Saccharomyces cerevisiae S288C: one gene and its partners. The gene in region 3 interacts genetically with the main gene of each other region. Each region holds a gene or a part of one and is shown on either strand. Other genes may lie near its edges.

Region 1 (7,011 bases), on a different chromosome or scaffold from region 3:
GAATTTATTTCCTCTAAATGGGCTAATCTGCCATTTCTTTCCTTCTCAATTTTGTCTTTGATAATTTTATTAAATTCTTTGACTTGAGTGATGGATAGTAAGCCCACTTCATTTGCATGTTTGGCTTGTAACAATTCTTCGTTCGCCTTTAATTTTTCTTCTAGTTCTTTGTCCTTTTGCTTGGTCAAGTTTTCTTTGAATTCGTCTACTTCTTGTAATAGGTTTTTTTGAAGATTCTTTTCAAACTCCCTTTTCGAGTTTTCATATTGTGTGTTCAATTCCGTGATTACTTCTGATGTTCTTTGTATCATGTAATTGGATAAAGCCTCTTTTAACGTTTCATTTAATTGGGATAGATTCGTAAGCATATTCTGGTTAGATTTTTTGATTGAATTGAATTCTGATTCGGGGATGGAGAGGTTTGAGTCATTTAGACTGTTGATGAGATCATTCAAAGAGCCAATGATTTCTTTCAGTTGCGGATCAGAATTTTCTGTTTCAATATTTAGTGGTTCTAATGATAAGATTTTTTTTACTTCAATATTTTCCCTATTAGATCTGCGCGTTTGTGAACTACCAGTTAATCCAGATAATAAATCATTGCTCTTTGCCTTCAAGCCGTCCCAAGAATCTTCTAAAAACAATGTTGGCCTATCGTGATAGTGTTCATATGTTTCTAGTAAATCCTCGGCAAAAGGAACGTTATTAGAGAAAAAGTCACCAAATTTGTCATTTTTTTGCGAATATATGATACCTCCAGCGTAGAAAGCTGTCGCTGACAAAGCAATAGTCCAAAGGGTATTGCGAAATTTGTGCGAAGCCTTTTTTGATGCAACGGTAGTCCCTGTGTTTATGCTGGCTAGACCCCTCCTTAGCACAATTTTTCGTGAGGCAGTAGTTCTTAGCATCATACGAATATTAGTTTTTTAGACTTTTCAATGCGTTCTTATGCCTTTTGTGTTCCTTTACTGTGAATAGCTTCCTCGAGAATAAGAACAGTTTTTAATTTCAGATTATTTTTCACTTTTTTGACAACCCTTAATTCCGATTCCGCACAGAAATCCGTCTTAGAATTTTATTGGTTCAATGAGTCTGCTACACGTCTAAAGTGATTCAATTCTGCTTGTCCACTGCTATGATGCATTGGTTCTTTGCCGACTACGTACTATAAGAAGCCATTTGATGAATCACTATTTTGCAAGTAGTTTCTTCTGTTGTTAGTTTTTTGCAATATTTATTTCTCTTTTTTCTGTAAGAAGTATATGAATCTTACAAAATATTATGAAAACTTTGTTGTATGCTATTGTCATAAGAATGGTTACGGAACGTACGAAAATAGACTTGCTAACTGTTTTTGAGCTGGAACATGTTCCACGCTCCGTGTTTGATGTATAGCATATATTGTATTATGTGCCCGGACGATTGCGTGAAGATGGAAATGCAAGAAAATTACCTCCGGAAACTGATAAGAGATCTTGAGCGTATTTTGATTTGCCTGGCCTTATAGTAAACGGAATCATATCAAGTAGTTGATAAAAAGAAATGTATTGGTTATATTGGATGCTGTGCGGATATGTATTTCGATCTCTATTGAAATGTATGATATTTCTTTGTTTTCGTCAGACACTGAAACCATGAGAAGGACCCAAAAAAAGAGTAAAAGACGTTTGTCATCCAGGATCAATGACGTTACTTGCCTCTCTATAAGCTTAAAGCGCTTAGCGGATGATGGACGTGTGTAATTTGTTACCCGCCTCTCTTTTTTACCTTGTTGTGTCAGTAATTGCATCACCTTTGTCACCACAGAAATGGTAAGAAAATATGGCCATACAGGGCAAAGGAATTTGGCATATCAGTCACTGAAAATAGTCCATAAATTTATTTATTTTTTGTTTTAAAGTGATTACTCGGTAAGGTCTCGAATAGTTAAAAAAAAAATTGACGAGATTTTTTTTTAGCTATGTTTCTGGACTATTCTGGATATGAGGCTCTTACTGAAATCAACTCTTCCTTTGGAAAGTATGTTCTTCTATTGCAACAATTTGAAGGCTGTCGAAGTTTGAAAGATCGGCTTCAAATGCTTAAGGATCTGGGGAGGGAATTTATGATATTCGAGAACTTGAATGTGGAAGATTTCAGAGAATCTAAAAATATGATTCACAGATTTTATACTATGGTTATTTCTTTAAGACAGATTATGGAAATTGGGCCCTTAGTCAGGCGTAGCCCTGCTGTTTTAGTTGTGGAATTCGATTGTCCGGTAGAGGATTGCCTAGATGAACTGGATCCGTTGCATCCATTGAACAGGGCCTTTATATTTATTCATAAACAATGGACCTATTATCATCAATATTATATAGTTGAAAAGGTAAAAAAGGTGATTCTTGATATGGCCCCGGTAAAGGAAGATGATTGGAGCATCCTTCACAAGGTTGTTTATTCAGAAGGTTTTGTCGAAAGACGATATAAAAAGAAGAAATACCTCGGTGATATTTACATTCCACAACCATTAATGAAAAGCAATAAAATCACTACTATCTCAAATTTTTCCCAACTTACCAAAATTTCCAACGTCAGAGTTTACAGATTCAACGCTACAGCAGCGTGTGATCCGCAGAACTTGAACAAAAAAAACTTGAGTATCAAAGAGCTTAAAGATAAAGACCTTCCTAATCTTATTTGGACTTTAGAACCAGAAAAATTCTATGTTGACATGAGACCTTACAAGGAACACGAGGAAAGGAAAAAACGGAGAGAAGAAGAAGCCAAGGTGAGGATGCAAGGTGAGGAACAGGAGAACATTATGATAGAGAGAAAAAAAATGGATAGTATTGAAGTTGAAGCGTCATCAGGATTGAAAAATATCATAAAAACACCTCTCGCTAATAGGGTTGTCAATACTTTTAATAACTGCGCTGCTGTGGTAATAGGCTATGTAACAGAAGTGGATAAAGTAAAGGATGACAATGAAGAGAAAAATAACGACAGACCTAAAATTGCGAACGACGGAATAGCTCAAAAGTCTAGAAGCGAAAGTGAAGATAATGCAGGAACACCGATGGAAAACGCGTACTTTCAACCTGAACCCCAAGATAATGACCAAAACAACATATCTTGGAATACCACTATGAAAGATATTGATCCAATTTACATGAGTGAAAGATGTGCTAGAGTTTGGAGAAAGGAGCAACAAATGCTAGGATTGGAGAAGGCTCAGACATTTGAGAAAAAATATTGTAAAGATCAGATGGTTATGGACGAAAATCAGGTCGAAGAACCTGGTAAGCACTCGGAGAGACATACAAAAAATCAGGTAGTTAGACCTAGGACCAAAATAGCATCTTCCGCCAGTAAAAATGATAATAGTAATAATAAAAATAGTAAATCATGCAAAAATTGCCATAAAGAGGAAGCGCACGGTCTAGTGAGAGAATACCTTAAGATTAAACTCAACATATCACCTCATGGAGAAAGGAATCAGCGAACAAAGGACAAGAGAAAATGTATAATGAAATACAATGCGAGCAGTAACAACATCAACAAAATGCCTGGGGAGAGTGAAGTACTTGGGTCAACTATTTTAACAGATATCCACTTTAAGGATGTCGTAACTGTGAAATTTAGGGATTTTAAAGCCAAATTTAGAAAAGTCAAAATAAACGCTTGATTTGCCAAAAATGCTATAGTCGCATCTAGAAATCATTACCAAAACGTGACGATTAACATAATACATTCAAAAATAAGATAGGATGCATTACATTTCATTATACCGTGGATTGGAACTGAAGATGAAAATTGCAGTAAATAGACAATAATCAGGCCTTATGGTTGTATGTCATATGTATACTCAAGATTTGAACTTTATATCACCTTTATTAGCGCATTAGCGCACATTTTAGGCCCCATTTCGAGGAATGTGGATTTTTGGCAAATCAATGTTTCTAGGTGTCTCTTAGCTTTCTATATAAGGAGTAAGGTATGCTTCTTGATGACATCAACCGTTTACTATACTTTTTTTAGATATTTTGTTTTCTGCGATAAGTATGATGGAAAGTAAACTGGTAATAACGTCAATACGTACTCTCTTGTAATTGTAGTGAAGCACAGTAATTAATATTTAAGCGTTCCCATGTTCAAATGTGTGAAAGGTAGGTAAAATCATTATGTTAAATTTTGAAATCCACATGACCTTGAATTAAATAGGCACATCACGATTGTAAAGGAATGAAATCAATCTGACTCCAAATTACTCAATGTTCTTAACACTATGTGTATCATTGAGACCAAACGGCAACTTCATAGTGTCTTGCTTTCGTGGACAGCGACTACTATTCTGGCCGGACAATTCAGGTTTATAAAGCTCTGCCCCTGCGATATGAAGTTACAATGTTAACATACGGGAGTGAAGGGAACAGGCCCGTTTACCAACTGTCAGTATTAATTATTTGTTAAGTCGCTTCGATATCGAGCTCTGGACATATCTAAATTTTTTTTTATAGTGCGAGGGTAGGAAGAAGGTTTAACTTATTTGGAGTAAACGTATATATTATTAACAGATGTTGCAATTTAAACTAGTTTTATTGGGTGACTCATCCGTGGGTAAATCTTCCATTGTTCATCGTTTTGTTAAGGATACATTCGATGAACTACGTGAAAGTACGATTGGTGCTGCTTTTTTATCTCAATCAATCACTATTCACCCAAACGATGGTAATGAAACAAAGGATGTCGTTATAAAATTTGAAATCTGGGATACTGCTGGTCAAGAAAGATACAAGTCATTGGCACCAATGTATTATAGAAACGCTAATGCAGCATTAGTTGTTTATGACATTACGCAGGAAGATTCACTACAAAAGGCAAGGAACTGGGTTGATGAGCTGAAAAATAAGGTAGGCGACGACGACTTGGTTATTTATTTACTGGGAAACAAAGTGGATTTATGTCAAGAAACGCCTAGCACTGAGACAAGCCCAGATTCAAACGAAGGTGGAGATGAAGAACAAAAAGTAAGAGCAATTAGCACTGAAGAAGCGAAACAGTACGCACAAGAACAAGGGTTGCTGTTCCGAGAAGTTAGTGCTAAGACAGGTGAAGGGGTTAAGGAAATTTTTCAAGATATTGGTGAAAAATTATACGATTTAAAGAAAGACGAAATTCTCTCTAAGCAAAATAGACAAATCGGTGGAGGCAATAACGGACAAGTAGACATTAATTTGCAAAGGCCATCCACAAATGATCCAACATCTTGTTGCAGTTGATATCCTATGATTTGTGTTTTAGAGGAAAAACAACAGAAGTTGCTTTAATTAAACTGCTACTTTCCGATAATAAAGCAGTATATACGTAATAATGTAAAAAAAAAAAGAAAAGGGAAGAGTAACTTTATATATGATTGTACATATACAGTATACATGAATATATATATATATATTTATATATATATATATATATACGTAGCCGTCGGCAAGATCTCCCAATTTTTTTCGTTCACCCTATTTACCATGCATGAGACTATGACAATGTTATATGATCTTGCTTGCATTTAATTTGCGTACCCTAGAAAAGAAGAATCCTTAGTGTATAATAAAAATTGAAACTATAAAAGAGAAATGTAAGAGAAGGAACAGTGCCCATTGCTGTTCATGTCCATACCCATGTATTCGCTAAATTCAGTGATTAAGCTAATGGCATAACGTTGTCAGCAAACTCACCAATGACATTACCAGCGGCTTTGTAGGAACAAATGATGTAATCGCCCCATTCGCCACCGCAAGATTTCAAACCGCAACCAACTTCAGAAGTTCCCTTCCATACGACTTGGGTGAAGTGACCTGCGCTTTCACTAAAACCAGGGTTGGAATAGTCGTAGCTGGTAATTTCGTTATACCAGGCATCAACAGAGCCGGTCGTACCGTAACCAAGTGCCAAGTTTTCACCGTATGGACCGCCGGAGTGGACTAGGTTGCCTGAACAATCGTAGGAGTCAGCGTAGTTTTGTGCATATGTTGCTAGTGTGTCAGACCATGTCAAAGAACCGGTATCCTTGTGCAACGCCCTTTTAGTGTTGTGTTCGTTAACCATTGACGTTGAGAAATCGGAGCTTGAGGATTGAGTGCTTGAGGCGGTAGATTGAGTGGTGGTAGCGGTGGTTGGGCTAGCAGTAGTAGTTGGACTAGCGGTAGTAGTTGGGCTAGTGGTAGTGGTTGGGCTAGTGGTAGTGGTTGTTGGAGTAGTTGTGCTGGTAGGTTGTGTTGAAGATGTTAAAGTTGTGGTTACATCATCCTGTGTGGCACTTGCGGAGGTTTGCACCGCTTGTATGGTTGCAGTTGCTGTAGAAAATGCTTCAGATGTTTCTGTAGAGGATTCTTCAAATGTTGCAGATTCAGCCACGACAGCGCTTTCTTGGATAACGGAAGTAGCTATGCTGTCCACTTGAGCATTAGCAACCACAATAGGAGCTGATGTTGTGGCAACGGGACTAGCAGAAGCCGTTTGAGTGCCCTTGGTAATGAACGTCGTTAGAGTCTGGCCATTTTCTACACGAACTATACCTTGTACCACTACAGTGGCAGCTTGGTGGACATGTTGCGTGACAGTCACAGCAACTGGGGCAGATAAAGCGACAGATGCAGATGCGGCCAGTAGTGAGACTTTAGAAAATTTCATCTTTGTAAGTTTTATTAAAGGAATGGTATTGTTTTATGATGGGCTGTTTCGAGGAACGATGATACCAAGAGCCAACAGATCCATCACAGCAATATGTAACACTCTGCGACAAGCATATATATATACAAAGATCAAAAGCATTGCCTTTGAACGACGTCTATGTTTCAAAAACATTACATATAGAGAAGTGCGTGAGATACACGAAATGTACTGTAAATAGCACACATGTTTATTCCCGCTATAGGAAAGATGATCTATGGGCAGATCTCTCATTCGTTTCATAACGGGGTCCATTTCAGTGATGCGTTTTCTTTTTTTACACCTTTTCACGAGGCCGGCTCG
Region 2 (4,417 bases), on a different chromosome or scaffold from region 3:
GCATACACAGCGTATTTTCTTTGAGTATTTAATAGGTAAGCTAAGTTTCGTAGCTCGTTAGTAATATTACTCTATGGATTCTGTGCCACTTCTTCAAACAGGGCGCGAAAACCTTGAAGAAGCAGCGCACTTGATGCCCCTAGTGAGAGTCACGTGACGGTTATCCCATTTAAGGTATTCCTGTTGCGACCCCTCTCACACAGATATATCTTGCGGCTAGAGATAGGTTGTGATTAGGAATAGATCTGTAGATGTCTAGAGGAACGGCTAATGATTGGAAACGTCCGAGGAACATGAAGAAAGACGTAAAGTGGTAGCAATTCCGCGCTTGTAACTTGCGTGGCATGACCAGAAAGCCCACTTCTCTATCTGATTGGAAACCAAGTTTCTTCGGAACAATCTCTGCTTCAAGAACCTGCAATTTCGAAAATTTTTACCAAGCCGTCGGCTCCAATCGCGTAAGTGCAAGAAACTTTGCGTAAGCTGATCTTAGATCAGCACTCAAAGCCTTCATATTCTACCAAGAATGACAGCTTCCCAAGTTATTCTGTAAAGTGTAATCTCGCATACAGTAGTTCAGCGACAGAAGCTTCGAAAACTTCTCTTAATGATGGACTCTTCGACAGTAACAAACTAGCACACCGAAGCTCCCGACAAGAAGGAGATGAACTTCTTTAGGTTCAAGTCCGCTAAACTCTACAGTGATTCTGTCCAGCATTGGCTTTTTTTCTTGAATTATTCTAGCGGGCTGTGGCCAGTATACCAACCGAGCCAAACCATATTAGTAACTCCATTCAGTATAAAGTGGCACTGCTTCATGGGGCTGCGATAAAGAGTCCTAGAAGACCATGCGTTCGAGTCGATCTGGGCACCACTCCGCATCTGGGCATAACCTGAATTATACAACAATAACGTGGGGGAGGGCATCGTTTACGATTGGCTGGATAAGAGGATTTCATAAGGAATATGATGCTACATCCACTCAGGTCATTATTCTCTAGTGTATCAGGCTCCCCTTATGCAGGTTCCATGACTCCATGGAAACGGGCCTGATCTTAATAACCTTATCTGACCATCTGATTGGATGGCCTCGATATTCTTATCGCAGAACCAATGCGCCGGAACCGGCCCATGCATTTTCAGTGCGGTGGGGCAATAAAAAAGAAATAGTACGACCCCACGTCCAATCAGCAGAGAGAAGCTGTTATCAGCTGCTGCGCCGTTTTCTTTTTCATCAGGTACCATAATGAAAATCAGCACTGAAAAATTGCGGAAGAAGAAAGCGTAAGAAGTAGCAGCAAAGGCCGGCTTCTTGTTAAAGCAAAGTATACGTAATCTAAGTAAGAGAAGATTGGAAAATTTTCTGTTTTTCATATATAAAATATACGAGAGTTACAAATGCGTTTACCCATTTTATATTCTCTCACTCTTTAAATGACTTTTCTTATAGCATTGAAAGTTGCTTGATACGTACTATCGCATTATTCTAATATAACAGTTAGGAGACCAAAAAGAAAAAGAAATGTCAGAGCCAGAATTTCAACAAGCTTACGAAGAAGTTGTCTCCTCTTTGGAAGACTCTACTCTTTTCGAACAACACCCAGAATACAGAAAGGTTTTGCCAATTGTTTCTGTTCCAGAAAGAATCATACAATTCAGAGTCACCTGGGAAAATGACAAGGGTGAACAAGAAGTTGCTCAAGGTTACAGAGTGCAATATAACTCCGCCAAGGGTCCATACAAGGGTGGTCTACGTTTCCATCCTTCCGTGAACTTGTCTATCTTGAAATTCTTGGGTTTCGAACAAATCTTCAAGAACTCCTTGACCGGCCTAGACATGGGTGGTGGTAAAGGTGGTCTATGTGTGGACTTGAAGGGAAGATCTAATAACGAAATCAGAAGAATCTGTTATGCTTTCATGAGAGAATTGAGCAGACACATTGGTCAAGACACTGACGTGCCAGCTGGTGATATCGGTGTTGGTGGTCGTGAAATTGGTTACCTGTTCGGTGCTTACAGATCATACAAGAACTCCTGGGAAGGTGTCTTAACCGGTAAGGGTTTGAACTGGGGTGGTTCTTTGATCAGACCAGAAGCCACTGGTTACGGTTTAGTTTACTATACTCAAGCTATGATCGACTATGCCACAAACGGTAAGGAATCTTTCGAAGGTAAGCGCGTCACCATCTCTGGTAGTGGTAACGTTGCTCAATACGCTGCCTTGAAGGTTATTGAGCTAGGTGGTACTGTCGTTTCCCTATCTGACTCCAAGGGTTGTATCATCTCTGAAACTGGTATCACCTCCGAACAAGTCGCTGATATTTCCAGTGCTAAGGTCAACTTCAAGTCCTTGGAACAAATCGTCAACGAATACTCTACTTTCTCCGAAAACAAAGTGCAATACATTGCTGGTGCTCGTCCATGGACCCACGTCCAAAAGGTCGACATTGCTTTGCCATGTGCCACCCAAAATGAAGTCAGCGGTGAAGAAGCCAAGGCCTTGGTTGCTCAAGGTGTCAAGTTTATTGCCGAAGGTTCCAACATGGGTTCCACTCCAGAAGCTATTGCCGTCTTTGAAACTGCTCGTTCCACCGCCACTGGACCAAGCGAAGCTGTTTGGTACGGTCCACCAAAGGCTGCTAACTTGGGTGGTGTTGCTGTTTCTGGTTTAGAAATGGCACAAAACTCTCAAAGAATCACATGGACTAGCGAAAGAGTTGACCAAGAGTTGAAGAGAATTATGATCAACTGTTTCAATGAATGTATCGACTATGCCAAGAAGTACACTAAGGACGGTAAGGTCTTGCCATCTTTGGTCAAAGGTGCTAATATCGCAAGTTTCATCAAGGTCTCTGATGCTATGTTTGACCAAGGTGATGTATTTTAAATAGTCTAAAAGAAAGAAAAGAGGAAAGTTCATAAAAAGTTCTTTCTTTTTTTTAAATAACTTAGATAGATAATGAGATAAAAGAAGTAAAAAAACGGAATCGTAACGCAATTAATTAATTAAGAAAATTGATTATCGGGAGAAAAAAATTTTATTTTTTATTTTATTTTCTTTAAAGTACATATATTTGAAATGATGACATGTGGAAATATAACAGAGACAGAATATTTAATTTTATGTATGTAAGCATCGATTGGACACCAGGCTTATTGATGACCTTACTCGTCCAATTTGGCACGGACCGCTTTAACTTGCAAGTAGTTTTGTAAAGCATCAACAGACATTTCCCTGCCCAAACCAGATGCATTGAACCCACCGAAAGGAACTGCGTGGTGGAAATCGTTATAAGTGTTTATCCAGACCGTACCCGCATTAACTCTATCAGCCACTTTTAAGGCGGTATTAATATTAGAGGTGTGAATACCAGCAGCCAACCCGTATTCAGAATCGTTCGCCATGTTAATGACTTCGTCGGCAGATTTGAATTTGGTTACAGTGACAACAGGGCCAAAGATTTCCTCTTTGACAATTCTCATGTCTTCCTTAACGTCACCAAAGACAGTTGGCTTAATGAAGTAACCCTTGCTACCTAATCTTTCACCACCGGTAATCAAAGTAGCACCTTCATTCTTACCAATGTCAACGTATTTCAAGATTTTGTTTAGTTGCATTTGAGAGGTTTGTGCACCTTGGAAAGTAGATTCATCGAATGGGTCGCCCACCTTGATGGATTCAGAAGCGGCTTTGAACTCTTCAATGAATTTGTCGTAAATAGATTCTTCAACATACACCCTTGAACCCGCACAACAGACCTCACCAGAATTGTAGTAGATACCAAGGATAATGTTTTGCACGGCTTTTTTCAACTCGGCGTCCGCGAAGACAATGTTTGGTGATTTACCACCCAGCTCCAAAGTCACTTTTTTCAAGCCTGCGGCTGCGGACTGGTAAATGTGTCTACCCGTAGCCGTGGACCCTGTGAAGGCAACCTTTTTGATTTTTGGATGGTTTGTAATGGCCTCACCCACAATCTTACCAAACCCGGATACAATGTTGATCACACCAGGTGGAATACCCGCCTGTGGGATGTATTTAGACACATACAAAGCGGACAATGGGGTGGATTCGGCAGTCTTCAACACGACGGTGTTACCGGTGACCAAAGCAGGGGCAATCTTCCAGGCCCACATCAACAGTGGGAAATTCCAAGGAATAATCTGCCCACAAACACCCAAAGGCTGTCTCTTAGTGTAAGAAAAATGGGTTCTACCAGTATCAATCATTCTACCATCAATTTTATCAGCAAAGCCAGCAGAAGATTTCAAATAGTTGATGACTAAATCAACATCTCCTCTCGAGGAAGAGATAGCTTTACCGTTATCCAAAGTCTCGATGGAAGCAATGACATCCTTGTCCTGTTCAATTAATTCGGCTAACCTGTACAAAGCCTTACCCCTGTCAATAGGGTCG
Region 3 (5,781 bases):
CATGACACCACCAGTGGTTTCAATACCAAGAGTCAAAGCGTTGACATCCAATAAAACAATATCTTCGACACCTTCTTCACCGGATAAGACACCAGCTTGAACGGCTGCACCGTATGCAACAGCTTCATCTGGGTTAATACCCTTGGAGGCCTTCTTACCATCAAAGTATGATTCTAACAATTGTTGGACCTTTGGAATTCTAGTAGAACCACCAACCAAAACGATATCATCAACATCCTTCTTTTCCAAACCAGAATCTTGCAAAACCTTCTCGACAGGCTTCAAGGTCTTCTTGAATAGATCTAGGTTTAATTCCTCAAACTTAGCTCTGGTCAAGGTTTCACTTAAGTCGATACCATCAACGAAGGAGTCAATTTCAATACGGGTGGACATTTGGCTGGACAAGGCACGTTTAGCCTTTTCAGCTTCTCTCTTCAATTTAGCTAGGGCCTTGTTGTTGTCAGACACATCAATACCATGCTTCTTCTTGAAAGCTTTTATCAATTGACGAACGATCTTATAGTCAAAATCTTCACCACCTAAATGAGTATCACCAGAAGTGGCTTGGACTTCGAAAACACCGTTTTCAATAGACAATAGAGAGACATCGAAAGTACCACCACCCAAATCATAAACAATAATTTGATGTTCCTTATCAGATTTATCCAAACCGTAGGCAATGGCGGCTGCGGTTGGTTCATTAACAATTCTCAAAACGTTCAAACCAGCGATGGTACCAGCATCCTTGGTGGCTTGTCTTTGCGCGTCATTGAAATAAGCAGGAACAGTAACGACAGCATGGGTAACCTTAGTGCCTAAATAATCTTCGGCAATTTGTTTCATCTTACCCAAGATCATACCAGAAATTTCTTCTGGAGTAAAAACCTTCTTTTCTCCTTTGACACTTACTTCTACAGCGGGCTTCCCATCTTTATTAACCACATTAAATGGCAAGTGCTTGATATCCTTCTGAACAGATCTGTCGTTATATTTCAAACCGATCAATCTCTTAATGTCGAAGATGGTGTTTTGAGGATTGGCAGCAACTTGGTTCTTTGCAGCATCACCAATCAATCTTTCATCATCGGTGAATGCCACGTAAGATGGGGTGATTCTGTTACCTTGCTCATTAGCAAGAATTTCAGTCTTACCATTTTTCATCACAGCAACACAGGAATAAGTAGTACCTAAGTCAATACCGATAACAGTTCCGTAGTTTTCTACATCATCGGCACCTCTAACTAAAACATTGGAGGAGTGGAAAGAATTCTGTAAAGGTAATATTACCACGAAAAGGGCGTACAGGACCACGGAGAGTGGTACCAGCAGCTTGCCAGCGCTTAGTCTGTTGAAAAACATGGTATGTTTGATACGCTTTTTCCCTTGAGACTACTCTTGGGGACTTTAAAAAAGTAAAACAGTAACACGTTAATCTTTAGAATTACATAGCCATATTTATATCTTCCAGAGAACCCTTTTCGTGTCCTTTATATAAAAAAGCAACTTTTTCGACACGCTGTCCAGTTCCTCGGGTGCCGCGCCGGGTGAAATTTCCAGAAGGTTCTATTAAAATAGAAAGTTGCAGCTAACATAGCAAAATTAGATGAATGATGAGTCCTAATGGGATCTACACTTTGCTCGAGAAGCGGCTGGTGGCTGCGGTAAAAACTAGAGGACTCACACTATGCAGCATATTAAACATATGAGGACAGCTGTCCGTTTGGCTAGATACGCTCTTGACCACGATGAGACACCGGTAGCTTGCATCTTTGTACATACGCCAACTGGCCAGGTGATGGCTTATGGCATGAACGATACGAACAAGTCATTAACTGGAGTAGCACATGCTGAGTTCATGGGGATCGATCAGATCAAGGCGATGTTGGGCTCCCGAGGAGTTGTTGACGTGTTCAAAGACATTACTCTATATGTTACTGTAGAACCGTGTATAATGTGTGCATCTGCTCTCAAGCAATTAGACATTGGAAAGGTGGTGTTCGGTTGTGGCAACGAGAGATTTGGAGGCAACGGTACTGTCTTGTCAGTAAATCATGATACGTGTACATTAGTGCCCAAGAACAATAGTGCGGCAGGGTACGAGAGTATACCGGGGATCTTGAGGAAAGAAGCAATAATGCTGCTGAGATACTTTTATGTAAGACAAAATGAAAGGGCGCCAAAGCCACGGTCCAAGAGTGACAGAGTGTTGGATAAAAACACGTTTCCGCCTATGGAATGGTCAAAGTATCTTAATGAAGAAGCATTCATTGAGACTTTTGGTGATGATTACAGGACTTGTTTTGCGAATAAAGTTGACTTGTCCAGTAATAGCGTCGATTGGGATTTGATTGACTCCCACCAAGATAATATAATCCAAGAACTGGAAGAACAATGCAAAATGTTTAAGTTTAATGTACATAAGAAATCTAAGGTTTGACGAAAAAAATCAGAACATCATAAAATAATAGCAACATTTACATATTTTTATATAGATATTTTTCTTTTTTTAAATTTCTCTGTTAAATGTGATCAGATAATCGTAGTGCCCAAGGTATTATCAGTAGTAATGGGAAAACATTAAGAGCACCACTATAGACTATCGTCTACTTTTTCCCATGCTTCAAGTATCCTTTCGTAGAATTCGATATGATGGTCCGCTAGTGAGCCCAGAGATTTCTTGATTTCAGCCGTTTTTACACTTTCGAAATGGTCTATTTCCTTCAAGCATTCCTGTTCGAATCCATCCGCCACCTTTTTAGCGTTTTCTAATTCACCTGTTAATGACGTTATTTTGCCTTCTAGTTTATTGATTTTTTCTCTACGTGAAGCCTCCTGATTTATTCCCGCTAGTTCTTCCAATTTATTGGCAAAGAAATTACTACCTCCGTATCCAGAAATCAAGTTATTTTTTTCTTTGATTGACCTGGTTAAATAATCACTTAGTTCTTCGTAGTCTATCTGTTTCTGGTCTTTCAATTTGATCAGCTGTCGCATACTATCAATGTAGTGTTCAAGATCCTTCAAATCAACAATATATTCGTAATCCAGATACTTTGTAAGATCTTGCAAGCCATATGACAGCTGTGTTACACCTTCATTAAAAATCTTCAACTTCGCAGCAAGTTCCTCGTTTTCGCCTGTGACCAATTCTTGTAATTCCTGTAAATTACTGCCCAACTTTGTATAGTCTTCAGACATCGAATCATTTTTTTTCACAACCTTATGAAAAAGTTTATCTATCTTTGTCACAGTCCGATCTAGTTTATCACTTTTCTCCCTTATCTCAGTGAATTCTTCGTTTTGCTTGTGAACTGTTTTGAAGGCATTCATAAAAGCATCAGTAACTTCATCTTTATTTGGTTGCAAGCTATCCTGGAGGACTTTGCGGTGAGATTCCCAATCTTTACTCACCAAAAAAGTTTTGAAGACTTTTGATTGAGAAAGATCGGGATGCAAAGAGACCCTTCTTAGGAAATTTTGCAAACTATGACATCTCTTTTGTGTAAATCTTTGGCTAAACCTATCGCCTGCTATGTATTGAAAAACTTTCTTATCAGGTAATGGCGGGATGATGCAGGTGGGGAACCTGTTGAGTAAAATATCATGCAGGAGCAATAGGTCACTGTATCTTCTATGTACAACTATAATAGATTCTGGATCGCCACGATTATCATAAAATGACGTGTTGTTAGTCTTTGTTGATATCTGATAACTCACGTAGCCAGATGAAGAGCCTGGGTCACCAGTTCTTTTTTGTGGATCAGAAACAATGATTTCAAACCAATATGGTGGCTTCTCGGGGTTGCCTCTGGCTTTGTCCTTAGCTTTGCTTGTTAAATCGTTCTTGCCTTTGTCTGTCATATCCTCAACAAAAAGAGCAGTATTGTGGTATACCGTAAATAAAGTTTAATAACGGCTTAGCCTACTACCAGAATTTAATCTGTTAATCTTGCGTCGTCACTTCGTTCACGGAAATCCTTGGTGTAATACCTCTCTCAATTCCTTGATACTAAACTATACATCGCTCTTGGGCATTGCCACCCCTTTCAAGCTGGAGGGCGAATACCCGGCAGGACCCTGTGAGCGCGGCATAGATTTTTGAACTGTTATTCTGAACTATAAACAATTAAAGGAGAAAAAATACAATATCTCAGTATTGCATATAGATTTTATAGGGTGTTTGATCGTACGCAAAGGGTGGCTTGCTTATAACAATACCAGGTTATTCTTGTGAATTAAAAAAACAAAAAATTGATTTCGCCCAGGATCGAACTGGGGACGTTCTGCGTGTTAAGCAGATGCCATAACCGACTAGACCACGAAACCTATTAATTTATGAAAGCTTGGGCTTTCAGCAGAAATTAATCGATTGTAAAGTTACCGTATCAAACTTATAATAATAAAGATGTATAAAACGCGAATGAAATAATAGTAACGGGAGAGACAAGATTGAGTATATAATTCAATAATTGCTTGCTTAAATGAAGCAGTTAAACCTGTAAATACCTGAGCAATCGGTTTAGACATGGGACTCCTCGCTTCACCAGATCTTATGTATAATATAGGATAAGTAACGATGTGCGAACAAGCCGACAATAAGTCTGACAACTATTACTCTCCTAACGATAGAATTGCCAAGACATCCGGTATTATTTAAGCCCTTAATACAACAAAAATTAGTAACGTAGTTTATGTCAACTAATTGTCCAAGATTGAAATTTGTTTAGAATAAATCAAGTGTCAGCTTGAGAAACTGACGAATATTAGTAACAAAAGGCACTACTAAATGGATTATATTGGAAGTTCATTCGCACACATCTATTGCCTATTATTACGTGTATATTACCTTATGTGGTACAAAAAGATGATAGATGTGATGAGATGCTGTCTCTGAAATTGAACCAAGTTGAGACGTAAAATTAATAATGTAAAACGAAAAACGAAAAAAATGAATAACATGTATATTGCCGATTCCGCTTAGTAGGTTCCGATAGGCTCGAGAGATCTAGTATGTTCCGTATATCTAATAATAGGACCTTCGTCAACAATGGAAACCCAACAACTGTCAGAAAATTGGCATAATCATCAGTTATTCTAGTAATATTTACTAGTCAGTGGGTGTTAATTGATTTTTATTCCAACGAAAGGGTGGGTATGTTTGAAAGTTTAATTGTTAATTAATACTTCAAAAATGCTTACCCATGGCAGTTACAGAATAGTTAGGTGTAATAAGAAGCAGAAATGCAAATATAAGAATGTCGTTAAAACACTATATATATGTATATATATACAACGATCTGAGATTAAACAATGTACAGGAGTGGCAAAAACAAAATCGGCAACATTTTCCTAAGTCAGAGCTTGGTATATAATGGTGAGCCAAATAAGAAATCCGACGCCTCCAATGCTGGCCGAGACTAAGCATAGACTAGTTGTCACTGTTATACATAAATCAACCACACCTTGTGCCAGACCAGCCTCTATCGTTGTTGCAGCGACTACTCTACTGATCCGTGAGAGCACCTCCTTCTTTTTCTTTTGTTCCTCTGTCAATTCCCCGCCCTTCTTGGCAACCAGATCATACTTATTCAAGAGGCTTTCAAATTTCTTTGTTGAAACGGTCTTGAATTTTTTTATGTACTTGAACGGAGATATATTTACTGCTCGGTTTAGGCCCTTAGTTAGCTTCCCTGTTTCTGTTTCAAATGTGTTATTGCCAACAGTTTCCATTTGGATTTCCCTTGTTAGCATATTCACCTTGTTATTCAATATACCATTTAA
Region 4 (5,902 bases), on a different chromosome or scaffold from region 3:
ACGTAGTTAAATTTGTCTACTAAGATCTGTAGGCAAGTTTTTTTTTTCCAGGGACGACGCCGTATAGAAAAAAGCAACTAGGGAATTTACCAGGCCATAATGCGGTGGATTCAAGCTAAACGAGTACTGAGGGGAACTTTAATCTTCAAGGCGGTATCCAGGCGGATTTACGAAGCAACTGACGGAGTGCTGCAGGAATTTAAAGGAGAGTTCTGGAGCGCTTAAATGCACCTAAACAGTATCCACGGAACATACTGTACTAAATACACGTCAAACGGGAACATTTCAAAAAAAACTTAATAATATAACTCAGTTTTTTTACATAGTGATAAAAGTGATATATTCAAGTCTTTTTACTATTTGCTAGGCATCCAAACCGTTTTGTTTAGACGTATCACTATTTTAGCATCACTTATGCATTTGTGCCAGAATGGACACTATTACAAACCCCACCGTGCCTCAGCTGAGAAGGTCCCTTACCTAAAGAAAAAGAAAAAGAATTCTCGAAACGAAGGCAAGGCAAAAAAAAAGAATGAAAAGAAAAAAATAGGAACTGTTGAATTTTTTCAACAAAAAAAAAAAGAAAAAAAACGGGTCCTAAATGCGGTGTGTGGGTTATAAGATGCCGCAAATGAAAGAATGCTATTTAGAGTAATCGATTATCATTCTTATTATAAGCTAAGTTGGTCAAGATGACCTGTTTGACCTAAAGACAAGCACTAACGCAGGCACCGCACTAGTACTTAAGTTTTCTTACGTGAAAAGGAAATATGGGTGATATGTGTCTGTTCCACTCATATCTTTTGGTTTCTAATTTTACGTAATCTCTTGTATTTTCTTGAGAGGGTAAATTTTCACGACGCGTCAGACGCTTATATGAGGGACGAAGTTACATATTTGAATGCATTAATCAAGAACAATATTGTTGAGTAAGCGAATAGCTACCATTGTTCGCAGTTCTAGGATCGCTAAACAGAAAAGGTTACTCTCCACGTGTTTAGAGGGCTACCCACAAACCGTCATAAATCATACCTCCTTCTTTGACGAGCGTATTGCGCCGTTCGAATGATTCATTCCGCCAAGAACTAAATGAACTTCAGGTTTGGGTCTTTCCACTTTCTTAACCCAACCATTCGTTTGCGTCCTTTTTGCCCCAACCTTGATCTTAAAAAATTGCAAGAAGAACTTTATTTATCAATTCGCCCGCGAAGTTAAAAAAAACCGATCTTCGCAGGCACTCGTTAGAACTTAGAAACAGTTCCTCTTAGGGCAAGCGCCCTTGTCGTATTTAGCCTTCTTTAAGTTGAGCTGTAACGTTGTTCGAGTCCGAGAAGTATCCTTGACAGGGACGATAACCATCAGCAGGAAAAACGGTATTTTCATTTATATCCTTTCCTCGAGGAGGGCTTGAATTATGCAATCTCTAAATACTATTCAATTCAGAGAGTAGATTTTTGTGGGCAAAGTAGACGTCGCTCTCTTTCAGTATACGTTCTTGAGCTTTCCATTTCAATGAACCGGCAACTAAGTTGGTATCCTTTCATGATCCTGTCGAGTACATTTATAACAATCATGTTGATTGTTCCAGTATCATAGATAAAGCGGTCTCGTGTCGTTATTGATGGTAAAGCGTCAGGTTACGATGCCCTGAAAGGTTACAGTTTAGTTATAAAGTACTATGTAGTGAATGATATGTTAGTACTCTATAGCATGTAACGTCAAGTCAGAGAAGGAATTGATCCAGGGTTTTTCCTTCAAATACTTTCCTTCATCAAAATCGGTGAGTATTTGGCAGGACTTAAACTTCGGTGCTATTGAATCATAGTCTATATCAGATGGTGTGACCTTGAGTTTAGAGGAGTTGTTTCTGTTTTTTCTTTTTCTCTTTGGAATGAATGTTGCAAAACCATCTACATCATGTGCTTTTTTAACTTCTGGCGGAGCGTTAGTCTGCAAGTAATGAACTAGCTTGCTTAAATTAGGATAGTTTTCACAAAGTTTTGCTTTGGTGTATCTATCGGTGTGTGATATCATATTATTTGCCAGCCATAAGTGTGGTCGCTGTGACGATAGTATGTTCTCAGTTAAATCCAAAGGAGCATGGGGAAGGAAATATAATACCGATTCATAATCAATTGCATCGTTCTCTGAAAATTCTTCCTCTATCAGCCATTTGCTTCCTAAACTTTTCAAGTACTGTATCTCTTCTTTAGTAAATATTGGATCATACAGGGAAACAACGACATCCCTTTCATCCTCACTTTTTATATAATCAGTAATCTCTAGGAGAAGAGCGAATTGGTACGTCGCAGGAAAATCCTCCTTGAAATTTCCAATTGCAACACATCGTATTTTCTTAATGTTATTGAGGTGCGGTTGTAAATTTTCAAGTAAATCTGAGAGGAATGCTGATTTTTTCAGAACATCTCTATTTGTCTGAACAATTTCTTCAAACGCTTTAGCAGGCACTACCTTCTTGCCAGTTTTCTTAAACTTTGTCCCACTTGCTTTAAAATCCATACAGCAGAAGACCGGTCAAGGTCATTAACTTCGGTATCAGTTCAGGATCTTAGCAGTTTTCTAGAGTTCAAATAAGTTTTCACTTTTTTCATCGCTACACGTCGAGCAAGCATCATTCCTTACCCGACCCGCAGATAGTTTACTTCCCATAGAGCTTTTATTATAGTTTTACATCAACTAAGGATGTTCAAACCGTCTCGTTTCCCAAATATGCAGTCATGGAATATGAACACCTGGTGGTATTAGCTATTTATTTTTACACGAATAATTATTTGTTATTTAGCAGTCGTTACAAATAGTAACTTTTACCAGCTAATTATGAAAAAAATGAGGAAGGCGTCAATTTTTGAAACAAACCTCTCGGCTTTCCTCTATTCATTTTTGTCTTTCTACAAGCAGCATTTGCGATCATCACTCTCTTTATCATAACTCACTGTACCCTGGGCTGATCCATTAGCACCCAATGAGCCTAGAGGTTCATAGCAAAATATGAAACGACCAACGATAGCACCTATTAAACAACTAATAATGATATAGCCGTTATAGTACATGAACAGCAGCATGATGATATAAGATAACCCCCACTGTAATACGAAAATAGTAACTCTTATCATGTGATCCAAAAAAGTTGGGTACAAATCCACTGGCGTTATTAATGTACAGCATGATAGGACCTTCTTTAACAGGTCGTCTTCTGGCTCGTTCAATCTCCTTGGACCCCAAACGTAAAAACTATAAATGAAACTTTTTTGTAAGGAAATTAAAGTTGTTTTCCAGCTTGGTTCGTTGTAAAAGCCTTGTAGTTCTTCTATATCAGATTTAGCATCCTCTTCTCCACATTTGACAACGTACTCCTCTGGCGAGTAACTAGCTAAATGCTTTATTTTCTGTCTTTTTAATAGCTCTACGTCAAATTGCCTTGAAAAACGAGTAAGCCATTGAGCTACCACCACAAGCGCAAAACAGCCGATGCAAGAACCAGCAAATTTTCCTTTGGTGTCATTTCTCCAAGATCTGGCAATGAAGCAGGTGTCAATGGTATACCAATTCCATAACATCGATATTTTACAAGTCGCTTTTTTGGCAGCAGTGCTGCTACTGCCTCCCATATTCATCTTTGTATAGCCCTTAAATGTGTTTTCGTCTGTTGTTATCCCTCTTCTTCGATCAAAGTGTTAGGAAATGAAATAAGATAAATTACAAGTCTATCGGAGAAGTGAAGAGAATGTGGATTTTGATGTAATTGTTGGGATTCCATTTTTAATAAGGCAATAATATTAGGTATGTAGATATACTAGAAGTTCTCCTCGAGGATTTAGGAATCCATAAAAGGGAATCTGCAATTCTACACAATTCTATAAATATTATTATCATCATTTTATATGTTAATATTCATTGATCCTATTACATTATCAATCCTTGCGTTTCAGCTTCCACTAATTTAGATGACTATTTCTCATCATTTGCGTCATCTTCTAACACCGTATATGATAATATACTAGTAACGTAAATACTAGTTAGTAGATGATAGTTGATTTTTATTCCAACATACCACCCATAATGTAATAGATCTAATGAATCCATTTGTTTGTTAATAGTTTAAATGTTTTTATCGGAAGAGGTTTTGTCATCACATCAGCAATGTTCTTCTTGGTCTCGATGTAGTATACGTATAAATTATTACCTGATACTTCATCTCTAAGTCTCATTGCCTTTGTGCCAAAAAATCTGTTTCTAAATTTCTCTTCATTTGTAGACTTAATTATACTGATCGTTGATCTACTATCAGTAAGTAAGCCTTTAATAATTGGTTTCTTGTTAAGTTCTTGCACAAGGTGACTGAGGTTATTCAATAGCGGTATAGCTTCACTGACTGCGTGTATTTCTGCTTCTGTAGTTGAAGTGCATGTTAACGAAGCCTTTGTCGACTTTCCTCCAATCACTTTTCCGTTGAGTAGGAAAATGTTACCAATTTGTGACTTGTAATATGGTTGGTTACCATATGAAGCATCGCTTATTGCGACTAGTTTATTATCTGGCTTGGTAGGTTTGTTTTTGTGCCATATTAATTGTTTATCTCTAGTGTCCCACATGAATTGTATTAACTCATATGTCATGTCTAAAACTTGTCTAGAGGGGAATAGTATATGTTGAGCAAGTGTGTTGATGTAGTATAGTAAGTCAAATCTAAATTTATATCCAACATATGAAGCTAGACCAATCAACTTTTGCATTTCATGTACCTTCTCTTTGTATTCATCTTCATCTATTTCTAGTTCATCCTGGTCTATATAATGACCTGGTTGACCTGGAGCTCTAAGTTTCTTTCCTTTTGGGTTCAAAGGTACGTTTAGTTTGGGTAATTTTTCTGTCAAGGATTTTTCCATACCTAATTTCATGTACTTGCTTCTTTGATATTTGATCTCTAATCCAAGTATGTCGTACTGAATTTCGTTATCTCTTTCACCCAGATTTATTATCTTTGTATCGTATTGTTTCTTGAGTGTTGTTATGATTTTCTTATTTGCATTTAAGTCTTTGCTGAATAATATCATATCATCAACGAATAAGCAAATTGTTACTTGACTATTCTTAAATACGCATGACCATCCGCGAACTTCTTGCATGTCGCAACAATTTATTAAATATGATTTAATGGTTTCATACCAGTTTGCACCACTTTGTTTCAAACCATAGAGTGATTTTCTCAAACGTAGTAATTTATCATTCAAACCTAAATGTGGTGGAGGTCTTATGTATAATTCTTCTTTGATATCAGCATATAAGTAAGCAGAGGATATGTCCAGCTGTGTGATATAATAGTCGTTGTCTAATGCGATTGACAGTGACGTCATCAGTGCATAGTGATGTACGGTATTGGATTGCATATCAGAATCATATGTATCGGGGTGTTGAATGTCGCCTCTTGCAACAAATCTAGCTTTGTGTGTACCATCACGTTTCTTGTTAAATATAAACATTGAGTTTATTACTTTTTTAGGATCTATGTCATTTCTATCATAATATTTGTTTGTATCCCAAGTGTTCATTTTCAATAGTTGGCTAATTTCTTTATGATAAGCTTCAACATATCTGTCTTTTTCTTTGTTGTCTTTATTATATGTAATTGCTTCATCATATCTTAAGGTCGTTCGAACTGGTTTGATCGATTTCACTCCTTTTATTGCTGCAATTAAATTTATGCGTTTCTTCGATCTTGGTGGTTCCAGACTTCTCATATTCTTATTATTCCATGTGTCTCGGGATACCTCAATTTCAGTTTCATTATCTTCTAATGATCTTTTCTTACTTTTGGTAGTAGTCAGAACATTAGAATCATCCATACCACCCAAACTGGAATTAGTCTGACGAGAGTGTATGT

The links.
Region 1: mutations in TAD2 (region 3) and YKR015C together harm fitness more than expected from each alone (negative genetic interaction), as found in Saccharomyces cerevisiae (one large-scale study listed by BioGRID).
Region 2: mutations in TAD2 (region 3) and GDH1 together harm fitness more than expected from each alone (negative genetic interaction), as found in Saccharomyces cerevisiae (one large-scale study listed by BioGRID).
Region 4: mutations in TAD2 (region 3) and BER1 together harm fitness more than expected from each alone (negative genetic interaction), as found in Saccharomyces cerevisiae (one large-scale study listed by BioGRID).

What each region holds. Positions count from the first base shown.
Region 1 is NC_001143.9:463,617-470,627, reverse strand, and holds YKR015C (uncharacterized protein), read left to right. Parts: upstream 1-1,960; coding exon 1,961-3,667; downstream 3,668-7,011. Other genes in the region: MIC60 (Mic60p), read right to left, coding at 1-911; Rab family GTPase YPT52, read left to right, coding at 4,557-5,261; PRY2 (sterol-binding protein), read right to left, coding at 5,680-6,669.
Region 2 is NC_001147.6:1,040,148-1,044,564, reverse strand, and holds GDH1 (glutamate dehydrogenase (NADP(+)) GDH1), read left to right. Parts: upstream 1-1,522; coding exon 1,523-2,887; downstream 2,888-4,417. Other genes in the region: YOR376W (uncharacterized protein), read right to left, coding at 1,006-1,374; aldehyde dehydrogenase (NADP(+)) ALD4, read right to left, coding at 3,166-4,417. UniProt on the Saccharomyces cerevisiae protein: Catalyzes the incorporation of an ammonium ion into alpha-ketoglutarate to form L-glutamate, the major route of assimilation of ammonia into an organic form in yeast.
Region 3 is NC_001142.9:376,905-382,685, reverse strand, and holds TAD2 (tRNA(adenine34) deaminase), read left to right. Parts: upstream 1-1,684; coding exon 1,685-2,437; downstream 2,438-5,781. Other genes in the region: Hsp70 family ATPase KAR2, read right to left, coding at 1-1,359; SNX4 (Snx4p), read right to left, coding at 2,590-3,861; IRC18 (Irc18p), read right to left, coding at 5,350-5,781. UniProt on the Saccharomyces cerevisiae protein: Structural subunit of tRNA-specific adenosine deaminase, which deaminates adenosine-34 (the first, also called wobble position of the anticodon) to inosine in many tRNAs.
Region 4 is NC_001144.5:944,986-950,887, reverse strand, and holds BER1 (Ber1p), read right to left. Parts: upstream 2,521-5,902; coding exon 1,696-2,520; downstream 1-1,695. Other genes in the region: YLR412C-A (uncharacterized protein), read left to right, coding at 415-621; high-affinity Cu transporter CTR3, read right to left, coding at 2,910-3,635.